Schizosaccharomyces pombe: one gene and its partners. Changing the gene in region 2 together with the main gene of any one other region gives a genetic interaction. Each region holds a gene or a part of one and is shown on either strand. Other genes may lie near its edges.

Region 1 (2,767 bases), on a different chromosome or scaffold from region 2:
TCAGTTACCATAATGACGGGACCGCTGTATTTACCTAAAAAAAATGAACGTGGACAATGGGAAGTTCAGTATCGAGTAATTGGCAATCCTCCCAACGTCGCAGTTCCTACTCATTTTTTTAAAGTAATCATTGCAGAAAAATCAGGAGAGCCTACCTCAAGTCCATCAGTAGCTGCATTCGTTCTTCCCAACAAACCTATTGCTGACAACTTTCCGTTAAAGAACTTTGCAGTTCCCGTTGAGGTTGTGGAACGAGCAAGCGGATTAGAGATCTTATCAAACGTACCCAAGGGTAACCGAAAACAACTTTGCAGTGAAGTGGTGTGTCAGTTAAATGTTAAGGAGTTTGTTGAATCAGTTAAACAAAAACAAAAGAATCAAGGTAAATGATAAGAATAAGGAAATTTAATGAATCTCTAGTTTTTCTAGTTTTTCCGGTGATCGTTCTTTATTATGAAAATATTTAAACTGTTATTTACACAATAATACTTAAATGCTACATGTCAAAGAAACAATTATAAGTATTTTACCCAGTAGTATAACAACACTTGTAAGTGTTTAGCATGATTAGGAAAAGAACATGAAACGAATTTTAATTGCTGAAAGTTTATAATTATTAGAGAGAAAGCGCGTGAGCTACGTTGAAAAGAAAAATTTCTACGTTGCATATTAAGCTTTGCCGTCACTTCACAACTATACAACAAGACACATATCATAGGAGAGTAAAACAAAATGATAGAAAAAAAAATCATTATTATTCAGTTGAGATTTTTCTGCTCTCGTTGCATACGAGAGATATAGGTTCGAGAAACAATGTTCCAAGCATCCATATAGCGTTCCATACATTTGGAAACGCAAGACTTTTGTCTAGTTAGAATAAAAGTATTTTAATAGTTCTCATACCTTTTCATTGGGATCGAATGTGGAACCAGGCTCCGGGATACATTTATCAAAACAGTTCTCATTGATTTTCTAGATAAACCGATTAGTTAAAACATTCAATAAAACATAAAAAATGAATGGAGCATACACTTATCAATTCGCCAGCTTGAGCAACAGCAAGTTCCTGACGAATTTGTTTCATGAAAATGGATTTTTTGTCTTCAGAAGAAGGTGCATTTCCACTATTTCCACCGAAAATGCCCATTTTGTTTAAGTATAACGTTAAAACTTATGAATGTGGATAATTTTTACTCCTTTACAAGGAAAATTAATGAGGAAATGGTACGTTCGTGGAAAGTACCAAACGGTGTACTTAGGGAGACTAATTCAGAAACCGGCCATCATCACCAATTAGACTTCGTTAATAGAAAATGGATTTTCTAATATGCTGACATATGCGATACAACCAGACAGCAATCTTTGTTTTGTTTTCTACTTGGTATAAAAAAAAAAGATTTAATAAAATATTTCTAAACTAATGGATAGATATACTATTCGGGTCCTTTTGGTGAGTTTAGAAATAAAAGTTTTTTCAGCGTTTTTTTATTATTATTATTTTTAATATTTTAATATACGAAATGAATCGTTCATGACTTTTCATTACCCTTGTTTAGAAAAAAAAATAAAAATCCCAATTTGTAAGAAATTTTTATAGAGTTTTATAGTCTCGAAATTAAATCATGGAATTAGCACATCTTTTACTGCAAATAATCTGAGAATCAAACAAGTCACGTAAACATTTCAATGTTTAATACTGCTAGCGATATTATGGTGTATTAAATTTTATAACAAAAACGAGTTAGCTTGACATTGATAAAATTAATGCGACTGTTATTTACATTGAGAATTATATTGTTAAGTGAAATAGGATTATTCGAAGGAAAATCTATTTCGCTTACTATTCCTTTATATTTCTTTAGAATGATACCTTTGGATTGACTATCAATTGTATCTGTAAATCCACGGACACTTTCTTAATTCTGCGAAACTGCATGGGCGGCAAATTTTTCTTATCTTGAAATCTCTATATAGCCTTGCCCGAGGTAAATAAATAACAGGACGGCTGGGAGGTTGATCTTATCCAGAGCCAAACTCACCACCAAATCTCTTCTGTTTCTTTACAGTGGGAGAAATATTGTTTACCATTGTTATTATTATTATTATAGATATTCCTTTTAGTGTTTATTTTTTAAAACAAAAAAAAATACTTGTAACGAATTTTCATTAAGTATCATCTCTTGGATCGCTAAAATAAATCAGCGAATATTATAGTGCTGAAGCATTACACGTTCGAGGAAGTTGACAAATTTTAATAATTGCTTATCATTCCTATTAAATTAATAGTTTGATTTCCCTTTCAGGTTGCTTCGCTTTTGTAGCCCTTTGTTTCCCGTTCTTTTTATTTATTGTCCTCCACACTCATATAAAAAACTTTGACCATAAAAAGCTTAGACAAGCTCTTCTCAAATTCATTTTAAAATTATCTGTTCGCAAGCATTTTTGTCCCATGTCTGTGATAGCTCCTTCTTTTGATATGGCTAACATACTCACGGAGTTGTCTTCATTTTTAGGAGCATTATCCCTGGGATGTTGGGTCGTTTTACTGATCCCTCAATTACTTGAAAATTATAAAAACCAGTCTGGTGAAAGTATCTCTGATTTATTTTTAATCATCTGGCTTATTGGCGATTTCTTCAATGTACTTGGTTCCATTTACGGAAATGTCTCTTCTACTGTATTGGTTCTCTCATTTTATTACATTGTCTCTGACAGTACCCTACTTATGCAAATTTACTACTATCGTTGGAAAGCTGCCCGTCGTATT
Region 2 (4,207 bases):
ACGAGAAAGATATATAACTCCTGAACGCTTAATAGCTTTTCTTTGCTTTTCAACTTCTTCAAGTGATATTTTTTTTATAGAATTTGCATTTTTTGTGGTCTCCTCATCCAGCTCATTTTCAGAGCCGCCTGAAAAGTCTTCATGGTCTGAAGTTTCAGACTCGAACGTGGAATCTCTCCGGAAGCGATCAAGATGGGCATCTCGTTCCTCAAGCTCATCGGCGGAGCTTTCAGATTTGACCTTTAAAACGTCTACAACTGGTTTTGTTGATCTTGAGGAACGAATAGCTTTTAAAAATCGTTCATCTTCTTCATCTTCACTCAAATCTTGGTCAACGTACTTCTCTTCTTCTTCGGCCCCAAATAATTGTTCAGCTGTAGACATATTTGGCTAATGATTTGCTTGTTGGTTTACTTTTCAATCTAAAAGTTAAGAAGTAATCTTTTAAAGAAATTCTATGCCACAACAACTTAATCTTCGAAACGCCTAAATTGTAGAAATGAAAACTTCTATACACTCGAGTTTCATGAATTTCAAGTGACAATAAATTGTTACCTAAAAAGGAAAACCGTGAAAAAAGATGAGAATGAAATGATTTTAGTAATATTTTATGTTATTTATAACTAACATTTTTCAAGTTAATGATCTATGATCAATAAAAAGGTAATAGAGGCTGTTTGCAATCTCAACAAAGTATAGGTGTTCAAATTATTTGAAAGATGAGTGAATCCTCGAAGATAAACAAAGGAGTGACTAAGAATGAAACATCATGGGGGAGTGGTTATAATTGACAATGCTTTATCTGAGATACAGTAGTCTTCAGTAGCTTTTGGATCAGGCTAAGAATTAAATTTAGCGATATTTTATCCCTAGATTTCTTTTGCTTTTTCTTTTTAACATAAAAAATTGAAAACAACCTTCTCTCGAAATTATGGTGAATTTATTAGAACGGATTGAACAGTTAAATTACCAGTAGATGGAATATGTTCGGTCAATTTTTCACCTCATATCAAATCAAAGCACTAATTTGGATACATCCTTATCAAAATATTCCTTTTCAAGATGAGCAAGACGCTTTCTTGAAATTATGCTATGAAACGACTGTTTATCGGGCTGAAACACTTTAGCATAAGGCGAATCACAAGTATAACAAGTTTGCTTTAAGAATGTAAATAGAGAATCATTACTGTCAATATGCTTTAAAGCGAACTTCAGTAACTCCTTAACATGAAGCAATCTTTCCCTAGGATCGAAATAAACTTGAGGACCAATATTAAAAAATTTGCATGCTTGATTTTCAGAGCTTTGAAGTAACAAGTGGGGAGAAAAAAATGATTTATCAAGAATATGGAAATATGGTAATTTAGAAAGTACTTCGATCCACGCATTCGCAGCTTTTTGCCTGAGTAATGGAGTAGGAAAAATTTGAATTAAAAAAGCCATAGAGTCACATAACTGTGCAGAAAGCATCTGTGAAAAATTTGAAAAATTTACATAGTCCCTTTCAAAGGAACCCATCAAGTCAAGTAAAGGGGACCTTTGGTTTAACGGAAACTGTTTACAGGCTCTAGCTACCGTACACTTCTCCAAAGGTGTACGAGGAAGTTTGCTAAGGTTGAGACGATAACTGAAAGAATCACTAATTAAATTAAATGGAAAAGATTTGAATAGAGTTTGGAACCTGCCAAGGTATATTCGCGGTCTGGTTTCAGTCTTTGGAAATAAACTGTAGCAATCCTCCCACAAGGAAACACTTTGATTTAAAAGTACAATGGTACTAGTTTCATCAAGACAGCTTCCAAATCTTTTCAAAAGGCTCCTTGTTTTGGTGATTTTAGAGTCCACAAGTAGGCATTCTATATGTTTGGGCTTTTGACTTCGAAGAAGAATGTTGTCAACTCGTTTAGGAATTGCAGATGAATTTTTTTTATAAACAATCGCCTTTGGCTCTAGCATTTTGCTGTGCAGCTTACAATGGGTTAGGATAACCGGTCTTTGGTCAACTGGTTTTTTTATTTGAGACTTTGCGACGAACCAGCCGGCTTCAGTCGGGCCCAAAATGCATCGTTTAATAACATCTGCCATTAGTAAAATTCCGTAATTTTGTTCACATAGATAATAAAATATCCTGCTTAAAGACCCTCTTTTCTCAAAAAAAAGTGGTAGTAAAACAGGAGTTGGTTTTTTGTTAGACGTTCGAAACTCTATTTAACCCCCTTCAAAAAATTTACCATATAACGTATATAATTTTTGTTTATAGGAATTGCTTTTGGTTTTTTAGAATTCCATTAAGATAATGGGCATGATATATCTACAAAATCACTTACTCACAATACGTTGCACTAGCATTTCCTAAGTTAGGGATCTTGGGAAAAAATGCTTCTTTAAATCCTTGAAAGCATAATAAAATTAAAAAAAAATACAAATTTCTCCTTTTTTATACATGCAATTGCATTTTATTCATAGCCTAGCATTGTGAGTAATGCCAAGTAGACTAAAACAGGGAAATGATTAAATAAAAGCGATGGATGTCAGTCTGCAGTGATAATGCATTATGAAGAAGCTATACGCCAAATCCATAAAACACTCATCTGCCACTGATTTCACGATGACATCTAAAAATGACCAAAAATGAAACTATCTTAGCAAATGCAAAAAGGAATCTCGATATAACTGCCCAAAGTTATGGTACAACTACTAAAACAACAAAAAAAGACGAATAAAGAATATAAAGGAACGTGCAAAACAAAAGAGCGAATTATTAAAGGATAGTGTGAATTTAGGCAAAGACTTCATGTACATGATCTATCAAAAACGCAAGACTGTAATTCTTAACAGTCATGTCAATAACGTCTCTGGAATTATCGGGGTCGCGTATTAATGTTGGGGAAAATACTACTGCAAGGTTCTTGGATGTCATTCGATTTGCATGACTATATGCAGCAACCCTTGCTAAATGTCTAATAATGAGCTGCAAAATTTCAGCATGAGCTGGAGGAAGACTTTTGATGACCATTATAAAACCGTCTAATTTATCTTGGAAAGAGGCACAATTTGCTGCTGTGATGAACGGAAAGTATTGGTCATAGGTAATAATTGGATTAGGAAGGTTGCGAAGATATTGCTTGAATACAGAAGTGACAGCAGAAATATCCTCACTTGGATCAAGTACCGTATCTTCATTTCTTAGTAACGCAACAATTTTTTTCATTTGAGAAGTTGCCCCTGATTTGCGATACAGACCTTCAAAATCCATGCCGTATGACTCGATAAAATTTATACAAGAAACGATAAGCGTCGGGACTCTCAAGAGTGTTAGCCTGTTTTGATCGAAGTCGTCAGGATTCAAAGCCCAAACAGGAGATTCGCTTTTTTTAGATTGATACTGACGATCTATAGTAGAACTAACGCAATCCTGATAATGTGCTCTAAGCTCATTGGAGTATTTACCGCAAAGTTTGCAGTGACCGACCGCTGGAACGAAATCCTCTTGTTCTTCAGAAGCTAAATGTTCTTCAGAAATACTGGGAGTACTCGACATGTGAGGAGAATCTCTTTTCCAATGAAACCGTTTAGAAAATGACTTCTTAAGATCTATTTTAGAGTTCCGTTTGTTATACCCTCCACTCTCCTTGTCTTTATTGTCTTTGGGTCTAAATCCAAGGCTAGATGCAACCATTTGTAGACGCGAAAACGATTCTCGCGGAGACGGGGTTGAAATCGTTCGGTTGGATTTTTTATCATTATTAAATATTCCGAAAGAGGAAGAAGTTCGCTTCTTATGCTGCTGCTCCCTCAAGTATGCCAATTCTCTCTCCAATTGATTGTTAAGGCTTACCAGTTCTGTGTTCTTAACATTCAGATATGCGGTTTCTTCCATTACAGTGCTGTAAGCGTTTTGCAATTTAGAGACAGTCGTAGACAAAGCGTCTCGCCTCAAAAGTAAGGTAGACAGTTCAGGTTGAAAAGATTTCCGTAAATAATCTAATCTATAATTTAAATCTGCAACCAACTCTTGCTTGAAAGCTTCGGGGGACACGGGAGTCTGCTGCTCTATGATAGAAGCCAACGAAGTCGCTTCCAACAATAAGGTTCCAACCTCAGCTTGAAGCTCTGAAATACGAATGGCGAGTTCATTTGCGCTTTCCTCTGTAGCATCAAATACGTTTGAAGTAAACACATCACTTGCTCTAACCAAAGAACTTCG
Region 3 (3,494 bases), on a different chromosome or scaffold from region 2:
AAATGCAAACGTATTTAAAGGAAAGCACTGAAGTGACCAACATCGATCTTCTATTTAGTCATGCACTCTGCTTTCTTATATTTACGAATTACCATATATTTCTACATCTTTTAGAGTTAGCAGTATAGGATAAAAATGGTGATAAATTATAAATTTATATATAAAATATACATAATATAACGTTCTACTAACTAGCTCCCGTGGCCTAATGGCTAGGGCATTTGACTTCTAATCAAGGGATTGCGGGTTCGAGTCCCGCCGGGAGCTAATATTAATTTATTTTTTCGTTACAAAAATGCATGCTAATGAAATCAATTTATTAGCATGAGTGAAGAAATACGTTTTTTTTCCTTTCCACAAAACATTCACCTACATAAACACACCTTTCAATACATAACTGATCTTTCTATTTCGACAATGCACAAAAGGGAAAGATAAGAATTTCTGTTTAAACTAAATGTAATTGTCTACTTAGTCACTGTATACTAGTGCAAATTAACTACAGAGCAATAAATGCACTTGTCAACAATACCGACTAATTGTCAGCTAATATAGGTTTAACAGTTTATGTAAAAAATCATCATCATTAAACAATAGAGTTTTCTTCCATAGTTGCAAATAGATTAGAAGAAACAAAGAGGAAATATGTCCAGTCCATGCAAATCTTGGAAAAAGGAATGTAAGATAGATAGCTATTTTTTCAAACACATCCAGTACCAGACAACAACACAGTAACCGGATGAAATTAAATACCAAAAGCAACACAGTTTTTAGTTAAAAAATATGGGATCCTTAATATGATTTCAAGGTTTCATGGAGCTATAATCACGAAGAATGTTAAGGTGTGTATTCGTAATCTTTCCACGTCGAGTTTTGGGCTTCTTTTGTTTAGGCGTTTGATTATGACCAGCACGCTTTACGGTTGAAGGATCCACGCTAGTGGGCTTTAAACCGTATTTTCCAAGTTCAGAAGCTAAATCCAAAGTGGGTGGAATGGGAATCTCATGCCAAACTTGTTGAAACTCCTTATCGACATGACAATCGCAGCTCTTGTCATTTCTCCATACCATTTTAGGAACGCCATCCTTCCTTGTACGTAATAAAAGCACTTCTCCCTGTTTTTCTAGTTCTTCAAGTTCAACAGTAACGTTGGGCCATCCGTCTCGAAGCTCTTTGATACTCATACCAACGTGGGTTTTTTGTGAATCTAAATATGCTAATAAACCTGCTCCTGAGCGAATGTTATGCAATGGCTTAAAGGTAAACGTTTCATTTCTTTCATCATAATAAATGCGATTATTTTTCTTCAAAAGATTGAGTAACATAGGAGTCAATGGAGTTGACAGGTAAGAAGCAATTTCCTCAGCCGTTTTAGGCTCATTTCTCTCTTTTAAATACTCAACTGCATAGTGTAGCTGTGATAAATAATGCGTTCCAACACCAGAATCAGCGGGTTGCGAGTAAACCAAAGACGTCTTTGAGCGCTTTTTCTTCAGGGAATACGACCCTGGACTTGAAGCGGCAGAAGAATGTCCATCATTTGAATTCAAATAAGCTGTTGGAGTCGGAGAAGCTGGTTGACGAGGTTGAGGTTTTGCATAAATAGGTTGATTTGCGACTTTCTTTTTAAACGAAGATAATTGATCGCTTAGTGAACTCATAGCCTTAAAAGTAGTTGTTAGCTTGTCGGAAATGAAACTATCAAACGGTGGGCAAATTCTGTTCAAAATTATGACCCAAGGCTTTGTTAACAAAATCGAACTTATAGACCGACAACCTTGTAAAAAAATAGAAAACAAACAAAATATTTATCTCTGTTTGCAAAATACTAAAATAAATTTAAAAGGCTATTGCTTTTAAACCAATTTCAAAAGTCCCCCCAAAAATAGTTGTTTGGCAGAGGGCAAGGTTTAGTACCTCCATTCCACGCAATATGCGAAATGATTCAGTTACCGTTTATTCAGCGTCTAAAATGGTATGCAAATCTTTTAATATATTAACTGACAAATAAAGGGAAGAGTATATGGCCCTATTTTTGGGGTTTTTCTTTGTAATCTTTGAAAAATTACTTTCATGCCTGGCCTTCATGATTCACAATACGCTAGGCTTGTTTTATCGATCAGTAGTTCGAAATGAGATTAAAAAACGTTCAAAGAAAAGATCAAGGTCGAGAAGCGTTAGCCTTCAAAGGGCAAAGGCAATTCACGATGCAGCTGACATACGAGAAATGTGCAAAATTTCTGGGTATTATGTTGAGGACCATCTCGTTAGAACAGAGGATGATTACATACTTTGTATTCATAGGATATCGAAGGATTCCCCTGGAAGAATTGGTTCTCCTCATCCCAAAAAGCTTCCGGTCGTTTACTGTCATCACGGTCTTTTGATGAATTCGGAAGTCTGGGTTTGTAATGTAGACCCCAGAAATTGCCTAGTATTTGATCTCGTAAATAAAGGATACGATGTTTGGGTAAGTATTTTGCTGCGTTCAATTTATCATATTTTAAATAATTAGTTACTGGTAAAGTTAATATGGTTTTCGTTCGAGTTTTCTTTTTTAAAAATTATTTACTAATTGTGCTTAAGCTCGGAAATAATCGAGGAAATAAATACAGTCGTCAACATCTTCGCTTCGACTCTACTGACAAGGAATTTTGGGACTTTAGCATTGACGATTTTGCTCAATACGATATTCCCGATACCATTGACTATATTCTAAAAACTTCTGGGCAAACAAAGCTCACTTATATAGGATTTTCTCAGGGCACTGCTCAAGCTTTTGCTTCTTTGAGTATCCATCCCCTGTTGAATGACAAAATCAACTCTTTGATAGCGTTAGCACCTGCAATTAGTCCAAAAGGTTTACATAACAGAGTTGTAGATGCCTTTGTAAAAGCCAGACCTTCCATATTATTTTTCCTTTTCGGACGAAAATCTATTTTGCCGTCTGCCGGATTCTGGCAAAGCTTTTTAGGTACGGTTTTTTTCTTTTAATAATTTCACTGACATTTTTATCCAGCTCCAAAATTTTTTGATGCAGTCCTTGCATACTGTTTGTCTCAGTTATTTAACTGGTCTTGCCAAAACATTTCTTCCTATCAACGCTTGGTTTCATTCGCCCATTTGTATTCATATACTAGTGTAAAGTGCCTTGTGCATTGGTTTCAAATCATGAGAAGCGCAGAATTTAGAATGTATGATAATGACCAGCTTGGTCATGACTATTTCCTCAAATATTACAAAGCTGCCAAATTCCCTACAAATAATATTCGCACCCCTATTTATCTTATTTGGGGAGGCAGCGACTCACTCGTTGATATCCAAGCGATGTTGAATGCTTTGCCTGCGGAGGTGGAGCATGTTAAGGTTGATAGCTATGAACACTTGGACATGATTTGGGCAGACACAGTTAAAGATTATGTTATACCTCCTGTACTACGAAGGCTTCGTGACATTCACCATCCACCAGAGCATGAGGAGAATGATAAAGAAAA

The links. Genes that interact genetically often act in the same process or in processes that back each other up.
Region 1: mutations in cbp7 (region 2) and tim13 together harm fitness more than expected from each alone (negative genetic interaction), as found in Schizosaccharomyces pombe (one large-scale study listed by BioGRID).
Region 3: mutations in cbp7 (region 2) and tfa2 together harm fitness less than expected from each alone (positive genetic interaction), as found in Schizosaccharomyces pombe (one large-scale study listed by BioGRID).

The regions. Positions count from the first base shown.
Region 1 is NC_003424.3:4,482,458-4,485,224, reverse strand, and holds tim13 (TIM22 inner membrane protein import complex subunit Tim13), read right to left. Parts: upstream 1,235-2,767; 5' UTR 1,148-1,234; coding exon 1,031-1,147; intron 973-1,030; coding exon 904-972; intron 861-903; coding exon 759-860; 3' UTR 568-758; downstream 1-567. Other genes in the region: endodeoxyribonuclease Pnu1, read left to right, coding at 1-390; G-protein-coupled receptor Stm1, read left to right, coding at 2,450-2,767. UniProt on the Schizosaccharomyces pombe protein: Mitochondrial intermembrane chaperone that participates in the import and insertion of some multi-pass transmembrane proteins into the mitochondrial inner membrane.
Region 2 is NC_003423.3:1,841,339-1,845,545, reverse strand, and holds cbp7 (protein Cbp7), read right to left. Parts: upstream 2,180-4,207; 5' UTR 2,086-2,179; coding exon 1,015-2,085; 3' UTR 543-1,014; downstream 1-542. Other genes in the region: U3 snoRNP-associated protein Esf2, read right to left, coding at 1-384; Rho-type GTPase-activating protein Rga4, read right to left, coding at 2,780-4,207. UniProt on the Schizosaccharomyces pombe protein: Translation factor for cob1/cytochrome b; plays a role in cob1 mRNA stabilization and required for correct folding of the protein.
Region 3 is NC_003421.2:578,653-582,146, forward strand, and holds tfa2 (transcription factor TFIIE subunit Tfa2), read right to left. Parts: upstream 1,906-3,494; 5' UTR 1,662-1,905; coding exon 804-1,661; 3' UTR 568-803; downstream 1-567. Other genes in the region: SPOM_SPCC1672.09 (triglyceride lipase-cholesterol esterase), read left to right, coding at 1,941-1,975, 2,014-2,470, 2,587-2,974, 3,020-3,494. UniProt on the Schizosaccharomyces pombe protein: Recruits TFIIH to the initiation complex and stimulates the RNA polymerase II C-terminal domain kinase and DNA-dependent ATPase activities of TFIIH. Both TFIIH and TFIIE are required for promoter clearance by RNA polymerase.